Linked DNA regions of Oryzias latipes. The protein of the gene in region 3 interacts with the protein of the main gene of each other region in a pairwise test. Links are inferred from orthologs where the notes say so. Each region holds a gene or a part of one and is shown on either strand. Other genes may lie near its edges.

What was found.
Region 1: the proteins of mal2 (region 3) and tpd52 interact in a two-hybrid assay, tested with the Homo sapiens proteins (2 studies listed by BioGRID and IntAct). The link is inferred for Oryzias latipes from reciprocal best matches to the Homo sapiens genes MAL2 and TPD52.
Region 2: the proteins of mal2 (region 3) and ptpn9 interact in binary tests that used the Homo sapiens proteins (3 or more experiments, as listed by UniProt). The two-hybrid records come from large-scale screens. The link is inferred for Oryzias latipes from reciprocal best matches to the Homo sapiens genes MAL2 and PTPN9.

What each region holds. Positions count from the first base shown.
Region 1 is NC_019869.2:23,407,840-23,411,358, reverse strand, and holds part of tpd52 (tumor protein D52), read right to left. Parts: intron 2,829-3,519; coding exon 2,787-2,828; intron 2,301-2,786; coding exon 2,252-2,300; intron 1,216-2,251; coding exon 1,090-1,215; 3' UTR 1-1,089.
Region 2 is NC_019864.2:10,375,716-10,379,234, reverse strand, and holds part of ptpn9 (tyrosine-protein phosphatase non-receptor type 9), read right to left. Parts: intron 915-3,519; coding exon 771-914; intron 1-770. UniProt on the Homo sapiens protein: Protein-tyrosine phosphatase that could participate in the transfer of hydrophobic ligands or in functions of the Golgi apparatus.
Region 3 is NC_019874.2:10,913,654-10,917,771, reverse strand, and holds the start of mal2 (protein MAL2), read right to left. Parts: upstream 2,803-4,118; 5' UTR 2,642-2,802; coding exon 2,492-2,641; intron 1-2,491. UniProt on the Homo sapiens protein: Member of the machinery of polarized transport. Required for the indirect transcytotic route at the step of the egress of the transcytosing cargo from perinuclear endosomes in order for it to travel to the apical surface via a raft-dependent pathway.

The sequences.
Region 1 (3,519 bases), on a different chromosome or scaffold from region 3:
TCAGTAATTTTAACAACAGCAGTTCTCGCAGACGAGATGATTCTCTGACTTTGATTGAATCTAGAGAAAATGAGCTCTTTAAATACTGTAACAATGTAATGCAGCAGTAAACAGAGTATTCATTTGGACGTGACTCGCGTGAGAAAAACGGAGGACGTTGCACCTTCTTTGTGATGTTTCTGTCTTGCATCAGGGTGCTGAACACCCAGTGCGGCTCCCTTTGCCATGCCTTTGTTTAATGTATCACACAGAATGTGTGGAGGCTTGCTGTCGCCTCCCTGGCAGGAACAATGAACGAGTGTTTAAATATTGACTCTCGCTGGCTGCAGAACAGACGGTTATTCCAGCCTCACCTCAGGTCAAGGCTGAAGCTTCGCTATGTGTTTGCCCCCCCCCCCCCCCCCACCACTGCTGTGCTGATCTCTGCAGAGGAAAACGGGGGTTTGATTCTGAAATTACAACAAGCTGTGTGAACATTTCCTTCCAAATGCGGTGCAAGCGACACACTTTTTTGTACTTTTAGCACAAAACAAGCATACGTTCATTGCTTGGACATAGTGCTTCACAATACTTTATGCTTCTGATGGGTCTCAGAAATCAACACACTGAAGAAAAACCCAACAGTTTGGCCAATAAATCCCAAAATGATCCAAAGCGGCCCTAAAACGAACATGAGATTTTTAACATCACCTAAGCAATATATGGTCTAATAACACAGTAAGTTAACTAATGTCTTCACACGAACAGAATGTCTTCTGATAGAGAACACCTTTGTCATTGTGCAATCTTCAACAACTGAAGGAGCAGGATTTGATCGAGATAAACTTCACTGGAACACGTTTGGCATTTTGTACAAACATGGAAAAAACAAAAAGGAGTGCAGGGAAAATAATGGCGACAAAAAAAAAGATACAGGAAGGGTTCCCCATGCAAGCAGTCTGAGCATGCTCAGTGTGTAGAAGCTGGAGAAGCGATCAGACAATTAGATCACAGGGGAGGCTGGTGAGTCACTTGGTTCCAATGAAGGGAGACTGGCACACGAGGGGTGGTGGTGGTGGTGGGGGGGTCACATGAGGATGGAGGCTGGTCTCATTTCATCGGCGTGTCCTCAGTGGGAGGGTCTTCCGGCTGACCCCCCAGAGACTCAGATGGAGGATCGTCCTGGCTGTCAGGGTTACTGGGATCACTGCCGGGTCCTGATGGAGTGATTTTGGTCTGCAGAGGAAAAACAACAACAAAACTTAATTTTGTTTTTTTTTGTTTTTTAAAAAAAACAATAAAATGTCAAATTCCCTCAGAAATAATGCAACACGACATTTCTGCTGAAACAGTCTGCAGACAAATACAGTTTGAATTGAAACCTCACATAACCGATTGATGCAAAGACATCAAACCGCTTCCATAAACCATCTCAAACGAATTTAGCATCTACTTGAAAAAAATCTGACAATGTGGTCAAAAACAAAATCAAAAAACTGGTTAATTCCTCAAACATAACCAGGTAATCGTGCTAGATTTACAGCATTAATACTACATTTTTCAGCTTTTAATGGTGTTGACACATTTTTCAGTTCTTCATTCTAAAACCAATTTAAAACTATCCGTTTTCACAGAAATGATGACCGAACGAAAGTTTTTGCTTGAAAATAAAAATGGCTCCTCTTTGGATCTGTTGTACAAACGTTCCCAGTGATGATGATGTAGCTAAATTTAGCCAAAAGTTTTAAAAACCTGTATCGTTTCTGCAGAGCAGGTGTGGTTCATAAGAAATTCGCCTCTGCGTTGTGGGTGGGACTGTTGGCACGGCGCTACCCCACCCATTTCTGAGATCCATCTGTGTGGGACAGCTAGCTCCCACGAAAACGGCAAGCGACGTGGGAGCTGTCCAGATTTGATCCAGATTCCAGCTCAGACGAGGAAAACAAAGACGTTCATGGATCTAAACGTCTGCAAGTGGATGCATCAGAATGGAGCGGAGCAGGGACCCTGTGGCCCTCCTGGCATCACAAAAATGCTATTTTTCAAACTGCATTTATTCTTCTGCTCCTGATTTGCAATGATTTAAATAAAGAAATACTCAGAAATGCAGTTTTAAGCTTAAATCTCTTCATATATTCTGTCCATCAGAACAAACAGATGTTAAAAACACCTGAGTTGTTCAGTTCAGACAGGAACCGGCTCCAAGCTTTCTGCACTGCTGGACCCAAACATTTCTGCTGATTTCAGGTTAGTGACTTTATTCATCCGTTACCTTCAGTGTCTCAACTTTCTCCTCCAAAGACTTGAAGGTTGGTGCATTTCTGGGAAAAGAAAGACACAAAAGTTAGTTATTTACTGACAGGTTAACTGATCTGGCCTCTGTATAAAAATTTAAAACAAAATGCAGATAAACAGACCAAATATCCTTAAAGCGGAAGAACGTTTGAGATTAATTACAGTTTCATTTTCCACATGCACACTTCCTTATTGTCCTCTTTGGGAGAATACAGGATGAAACAGGGTTTCCCAGACCAAAACCCTGTTGGCTTTAGACTGAAGTCTGGTTCTTTGAACCGACTCGGTTCCTGAGGCTGCCTCAGGTTTTATCCGTGTTCCAGTTTGATTTCTGCTGCTGGGCCTGATCTCACAGTAGCAGGTGGAGGGACACTGCAGCACAGCAGTGGTCCCCCCTGCTCTGAAAACATGGGATAAGAAGCTGCTGCTGACAAACACGCTCATGTTTAATTCAAGGCGCGCGTCCTCTGTGTTGTTGCCGCGTCAACGTAAACCGCTTTGGCCGCTCTTACCTTATGACAGGCATGCTAGCCGAGTGCTGAATTGATTGTAAACTATCCGACAGCATTGTGGAGAGAAGAGCAGGAGTTAGGGAGAATCAAAGAGCAGCGACACACAAAAAGAACACACAAAAACAAACACAACTAAAGTTGGGGGGATTCTCACTCACTGCAGAAATCCCATAAACCCGCTTCATCCTATTAGGATCGATCGCATCCTATCACAGAGGGTCTGTGCTAATCCTTTGCATTAAGGGTGAATATGTGGTCCCCACACACACACACACACACACACACACACACACACCCACACACACACACACACACACACACACACACACGACCGCTGTCACATCGCTACCCCACCCCCAAAGACCCCTAAGCTCAGGCTCATCAATGTGGTTGCATTTCTCAGCACACAGAAGCTTTAGGTGGAGCTAATAATCTTGTTTGCAGCTAAATAATCCAGAGAGAAGAAGGATGCCGAGGGAAAAGGCAGATTATAATCTGGAGGAGAATCTATGCAACTGAACTGTGTGTTATCTGGAAATACTGACAGTCACTGTTGTTGTTGGTCATTTATTAGAAATCAATAATAATAATAAAAAACAATCAACTTGATTGGTTTTCTACTATTTACCAACAAATGAGGCTTTACTGCGAGGGAGGAACCAATGACAAGCAGTGATCGGCATGATCGCAGCACACAAAACTTTCTGCACATACACAGAGGAACTGTAAGGGG
Region 2 (3,519 bases), on a different chromosome or scaffold from region 3:
ACTGCTGAACACTGCTGCCAGCCTGTAACTACTAGGTATAATGTAGGGTTCAGTGTGTTGCCCAAGGACACTCCAAAACATGAGTTGGTAAGGCGGGAACCGAACCTACAATCCTCCGATCAGAGGTCAACTGCTCTACATTGGCGCCAAAGCTGCCCCATCTAACACAGATGCCAGAGGCTCCCTGTGCACAGGTGAGGTGGGTGTGGTCTATTCATTTTGTACACCCCAGTAAACGAAACGCTTGGTTTTATTGATCACTGAATAATTTGGATGACTTGGAGTAGGATTTTGTTTCATAGACGAGATGTTTTGCTGTATTTCAGATTAGGATTTTGACCAGAAGAAAAATCCCACACTGAGCTCAGTGATAATCTGCCTTTGGGCTCTTTAAGATGGTACTTTCAGAGCTTCAGTCTCACCCAGACGAATCAGTTTGTCTATTTGGTTATAGAAAGTCTTCAAAGCTATGGATTTCATTTGAATTTTCCTTTTTAAATGATCCCTTTTAAAAGAAAACACAGAAATCTTTCAAATCTAACAGAAGTGCTTTAACCACTTAAAAAGTAGAAGAAACTGCTTTAATAATCAATTCATGTTTTTGATCATTTTCTAGAAGTACTGATATGATAAATTGATTTATTTAAGCCCCGCCCCAATATTTCGGTGACCTGCTTGACCTCTCTGCTTTTCGCCTCGGCTTGCATTCATCTCTGGACGTTTTATGGTAAAACTTGATGAGAATGTTCTGCTGCCGTGGCTCCGCTCACCCTGTAACTGTGGAAAAGTTCGATGGCCCGGAGAACGTCAAACTTGCGCGCCATGAGGAATTTGATAGCCAGTTCCTTGGACAGTGGAGACACGCCATGCTGAATGGTCCACTTGTTGATTTCCTCCAGAAACTGCCTGGTGGCCTGAAAAAAATAAATAAAGATAAAATAAAAACCCCACAGATGTTACAAGACTTTAAACCTGATGCATCTTCTGAGAGAAAAACAACCACAGAACGTTCTGGTAAAAACCATTGACGATGTATGAGAAATTGACAGATTGAGATGATGGGTGATGTCACCCATAGAAATGTGCAAACATCCAGCTCCAACCAAATGAACTCACTTCACATGCCATTATTTCACGAGCCAGACGTCGTCAGTCTGTAAGCAGCGATTGGTCCAAGTTAGTCTGAGTCAGCGTTTCTATGGCAACCAATCTCACCAATCACGAGTGAAGTTGTTGAAAGTCCACACCTCGACAACTTAAAAAAATGGAGGCATCTGACTAGTCGGTTAATAAAGAAAAAATATCACAGAAAAAATAAAATAAATTATCAAGAAAAAAAAAAACGATTATATCCAGTATGTTGTTTTAACAAGTAGATTGAGTAATAGCAGTTTATTTTTAAATAGAGGTCTATAGGATTTTGGTTTTTGGGTACTTCCTGTTTTGAATGTGAGGGGGGAGGAGTCACTCAGTCTAGATCTTCTATAGTCAATGGCAAAGAGGTGAATAGAAGTGTTGCTTGTTCGTGGCACACAGCAGAAGATAAAAACATGTGGTGTCATTTGAGGAAGGATGAGCTGCTATAATAGCAGGCTGTGCTCACTAAAGAGCTCTAAGTGCACTTTGCTGTGAAACTGTGTAGGTGTGGAGTCCTGAAATAGAAGCCAGTGGTTATTTGTTGGCTTGGTGAGAGATGGCACTGACATTTGTTAAAAAAAAAAAAAGAAGAAAAAAAAAGTGATTTCTATCTATGATGAGGCGGAGGTTCATCTTGCCTTACGGACCCACTCCAATGAAAATGGCATTTTTAAAATGTTCTTGAGGAATTTTTGTCACGGAGGACATATATATTACGAAAAATCAAGATTTAGCCAAAACATTAAGCTTAAAACAACAGTCCCGCCCACCACTGAGAGGCAAACTTCTGGTGAAGTCCTGCCACTCTGCAGAAACTATGTCCTAAAAAAATGACAGATTATTTTAAAATTTCGGGTAAAAACTGCATTATCATAATTAAACTTGGATCAAAAGATGACCAGAGTGGGTCTTTAAGGCGTGGTCTTGTTAAATGTCAGCTATTTCAGCACTTTTCACACCATGTGGTTGTATCTACAGCCTTCTGCCTTCCTTCCACTTACGGGGCTTGGACTCCATACGTGTGCATTTAGCCAATTACTCTATTAAGGCTTTCTGCAAGTACAATTCCCCCCACCTGACCAGCCAGTGAGCACTGAGTGAATCCTCAGTCGGCAATGAAAGCTCGCACTTTAAACACAGGCCTCTCCTCTCTGCTCTCTCACACCCACACACACACAAACACAGAGCAGTGATGAGGCATGCACGAGAGACAGGAAGTCAGGTTCTGGGAATCCACGGCCCTCCGGCAGCACAAAAAGATCCCTGACGAGCTCGGGGCCTGAAGACAGGATGCCACTGTGTCTCTGCAGGAAAGCCAGTGCTTTCAGAGGCTGGAGGGCCCGCCGCATCGTACATGGTAAAGAAGCCTCTGCATTCAAGAGGGGAAGAGGGGTGTCTGCACCTGATGGGGCTGAGGCCAGTTCGTCGGGGTTGTATCAAAGAGCAAAGTTTACGTTGAAAAGCTCCTGCACTCCAAGATTCAATTTTACACAAAAAAGGTTATTCAGTTCCAACCTGTGGGGAAAGTCACTGTTCGTACCAACTGGAAAACTAATGATGAATTGATAACGACATGTTGAGAAAAACGAGAAAAACAGATTGCTTTCTCTCTTGGCCTTTTAAGGACAGACTGCCAACGCCAAGCAGTGACCTTCAGTTCCTGGAGAAGCCACTCCTGTCTGGCCATTTCTTTCCAGCAGCCAGGACCCTGAAGATGAAGCGGTTTGTTTTTAGAAAAGCACAGCAGACTTCTCCAATCAAATCTTGAAGGATGCATAAATATTTGTTTAAAAAAAAAAAAAACACCACTTCCTGTTTACACCTTGTTGACTCTGAAAATGACCAGTGATTTCGAACACCAAACAGAAGAGGTTGTGACTCTCCAACGCACAGCGGACATTACATAATCCTGTTAGCGGTCTGACTGTCTCCACCGATGACTAATTGATTAACTTTCACCACACAGGCAATGCCTCAGAACGACCCAGACCAATCGCTGCTTACCGACGATGTCTGGCTCCAACATGGCAATGTCCATGTCTCAAAAAAATGGTGAATAGGGGCGTCCGGTTCTGAAGCAGGGGCCCTCCGGCTCACACAGGAAATGGAATAGGCAGATAAGGCACTTTCTGCTGGCCAGATGATGAAGAGTCAGCAGAAAGGGTAGGCACAGAGAAGACACTGCAGAGTAAACCAACATGGCAATGTCTGCGTCTCAAAAAAAAAAAAAGGTGAATGAATGGACTTCATTTCATTGGAGTTGGGAGTGAGCCATTTTCTATGGGTGACGTCACACTCATCCGGTCCAGTTCTCTAATACAGTCAATGGTTCCAAAACTGGATGGCTGGGTGGAACAAGGTAAAGTGAGACTTTAAGTCGGT
Region 3 (4,118 bases):
CCTTGGTCTTTCATTATGTCCCAGTCGAAAAAAACCTGAACTTAAACTTATTCCCATAATTGGTTTTGGGTTGTTCGTAAACATTTTAATCCACGTTACATCCGTCGTCTTTTATGCTATCAAAGCCAAAAAAATGAGAGGTTACTGCCTCAAGTGACAAAAACATATAGATTATATTGATTAAAAACACTCTATGCTCTTAAATGAGCCAGTATTTTAATAAAACTCAAACTGTAATTGTAAACTGATCAATTTTCTTTATAAACATATAAATGAACAAATCAATTAGAAATGGTGAATCTGTGTTGCAACCTCTTGTACATGTGTGTGTGTGTGAAATAAAAACGTGAATGAAAAAATCGCACACATTAATTGGTTTCATTCAGGGAAAAGAAAAAGCTTTACTTCAGCTCATAAGCTAAGTTAAGAAAGTGCAGTGGGTTTTTTTTTTTGTGTAAGTTTTTCTCATGTAAAATCACTGAATTCGTGTTTTCGTTAACATTTCAATCCACAATATGTTCGCCGTTATTTTCTATTAAAGCCTCTAAAAAAATTTAAACTCCCGCCCCGCTGCCTCACTGGATTTGACATACAGATTTCTGCCAATCAGATCAACCAGAAAGGTTACTGCCCCCAAGTGACAAAAACACCCCCTGAACACTTCGCGCAAACCCAGCGAGCATGCAGGATCGCCACTCGGTTAAGATTGCAACTGTGCAGTTGTAAAATGCGGGGTCGCTCGGTTGAAATTGCGCAGTTATAAGTTTCGCTCAGTCAGTCCTTATCTTTGCGCTTGATAAAATTAGTGGCAGCCATGAAACGCCATAGACATGAAACAGAACACCAATGGGGTACCTCTCTGTGTGGAGTTTGCATGGGCTTTTTCTGGGGACTCCAGCTTCCGCCCACCTCCAGAAACATGCTTCACATGTTAATTAGTTACTCTAAATTAGGCCTGCACAATAAATCGCAAATTTATTGTTATCGCGATGCATTATCGCTGTGCATTATCCATATCACAAAAGACAGCTAAAATCGCAATAAAAGGTAAACCTTAAATGTGCTAAAAAAATCTTATGGCCACTTGAATCATAAGAATTGAATACATAATTGAATAAATCCCTTGATACCAATCAGATGGAGCCTTTCACATTGCTAACCAATCCGATGGAGCTTTTATGTTAGATGTTGCCCTCCTAATTAGACGAGGGTCATTTGGAGAATAATTAAAGGCATTTTGACTCTTATTTAAATTAAACTGTTCAGTGAAATGGAAATATTTTTGTTGATTTTGCTATTTGTTCATTTATTGCAAGTTATATCGTCATCGCAATATTGATCACTAATATCGCAAGTTTTCCTCTTATCGTGCAGCCCTTCTCTAAATTGTCCCTAGGTGTGAATGTGGGTGTGCATGGGTGTGTGATTGTGGTCCTGTGACAGACTGGCGTCCAGGATGTCCCCTGCCTTTGCCCACGAGTGGCCTTGATAGGCTCCGGCAGCCCCATGACCCCAAAAGGGACAATCCAGGTTTAGCAGATGAATGATTGAAAGTACACTTTCTTCCTGTAATTGAGGACAAGGCATGTATGCAGTTCAAGAGGTAAATATGAAAATATTTTTCTGCAATGGTTGGATTTGTTCTCCTGCTTAATGCTCCCCTTTACTAACATGAGCTGAAAGTTTTAAGTGTATGGCATCTATGTGAAAATTGTCATGCATCATTTGAACAGTTACCCCGAGGCACTCAATATCTTGGCAAATTAATTATACCACGTAAGTGTTATTGCATTTTAGTTGGTGAATAATTGAAAAACTTTGGCCATTTTGGCATCTTTGCTGCTTGTTTTCTCTCTCAATCTTTTTAAGGAATTTACTTAGCCCTTGATTAAAATGTCCAATTTTTTATGATTCTTTTGAAGCAAAGTATCATAAATTGTTAGTTCATAATGCATTCTTCTCTGATCATCCTTATTAGGTAAGTTTTCTTTTTCACAAAACCAACTAAAAGCATTATTTTAGTGGGTGGGAAGTTCAAGGGTTAACATCAACCAGGCTCACACCTTAATAGCCACAGATCGGCAATTAATTCTTTGAATGTTTCCAACATATGCTCTTCCTTTTCTGCACAAACTAAGGCATCAAGATAAGTAGTAAAATACCTGTTAGATTAGATTAGAGCTTTCATGGAAGTGCTGTGCAGAGGTCACCTTGTATGTTTATGACACAATAATGTAGACACAAACCAAAACTCACTTGTGGTCTTCTTCTATAATTTTATATTAAAGGACGTGACTTTAGCGCACGACTACAAATGTGCAAAAGTCGCATCCCTAAGAGACATGATGTCGAATGAGCAGATACAGTTTGCAACAACAGTAACAAACTAAACTATAGACAAAAACTGATTCCTAACAGATTTTACTATATATTAGTAATAAGGATGTGAATAAATATAGAATAAAACAACCGCTTGTAAACAATCACTCACTATTTCTATGCAGATGAGAACTCCAGAATAAGTCCGTAACACACCCAAACCCAGAGGTAGAGAAATGGTTGCCGTCGGGAAGGAGGTGGCGGCGGCGGGGTCCACCGGGGCAGCGGTGGCGGCGGCGGGGTTAGAGGCTGGCTCCGACATTTTTCACCTCTCCTTGTATCTCCTTGCTCTCTGAATAACTAAGCTCTCTGAATTTACCCGTTAAACAAAGGACGGGCACAGAGGCAGAAATTCCTGCGGAATCATGTGTCCTCGAACAGGTCGGACAGGTGCAGCGGCCACTCCCTGGATACGAGGGATGCGTTCAGGGACGTCTCGGAAGATCCCACATCACAATATCCATTTTATAAAACAAGGACGGGTTTAAAAAGTTTATTATAAATATATTATAAACGTGTTCTGGTATTGTTATTACATTGTAGTCTTGTGTAGTCAACTAAATTAGTAGTTTGACTAAAATAAGTAGAAAAAGCCCCTTTATTTTGTCCAATGTTCTACAGGAAAAGTGTTGGGAAAATCAATTATTTGGAATAACCTACATTTTATTTAACATTTCTGAAAGAAAATCTCGCATGTGTCAAACAGGCACGAGTAAAACATATATGAGGCACTTCTTCAAGTTTTTCCACACTTTTATTATTAGTGTTTGATATTGCCAACTCTGAAATTTGCATGATTATGCTTTTATCAAATGCCCTTTGGCCCTGTAACGATCAAGGATAGCAGTTTTCTTCCTTTTTCTTATTAGGAATCACTATGTGTTTCACAACCCTGTTCCTTAAGCATCCCTGCCCAGAGTGTTTTACTGCTTTTCTCTGTCAAACACACCCAACTCAAATAAATGACTCATTCTCAAGTCATGATTAAACTCAGGAGCTTAATCAGGTTTGTTAGACAAGAGGAAAACTTGACCAGACGGTGTTGGGAAACCTAAATCTTTATAAACCTAAACATGATTTAAAAAAAAACCTGCTTTAAAAAAATAGAAATGACCTAGATAACATTGAAAAAAAAGTTTACTTTTATATTGTAATTTCACCAAAGACTTTTAAAGGAACACAAATGTTACTAAAATAACACTTGTATGGTGTCCTGTGAAATAAATGACAGATTTAAACTGAACCACTGGGCTGTCATGGTGAAAAAGCACAGTTTTTATGATAAACCACTGTCAATGATTAGCTTGAGTTTAGATTATGTTAACCAATGTTGGTTTAACCTCCAAGAGGGCACTGTTCATTTTTAGTGGACTGAATCTTTTCCCTTGTATAGTCAAAGTCTATTTTTCATTGTTTGTGATGAGTTTTTTTCTTGTTTTATACTAGTTTTGATTTGGATTCTCTTCATAAAACCTTTAAAAGGCTCAATGGTTTTTCAAAAATAACACATTCAGAGGTCAAACAGTCGTTCATTCTTTCATCTCCTAAGCCGTTTTGTCCTTTTCGGGGTCAGGGGGCTGCCAGAGCGTGTCCGGCCACTTGTGGGCGAAGGCTGGGGACACCCTGGACAGGTCACCAGTCTGTCGCAGGGCGTCAAACACTATTAATTTTACATTTATTTCATTTATAAGAAAATGTACTCACTGTTTAGTTTAAAATATTAAAGGGCCTATACCATG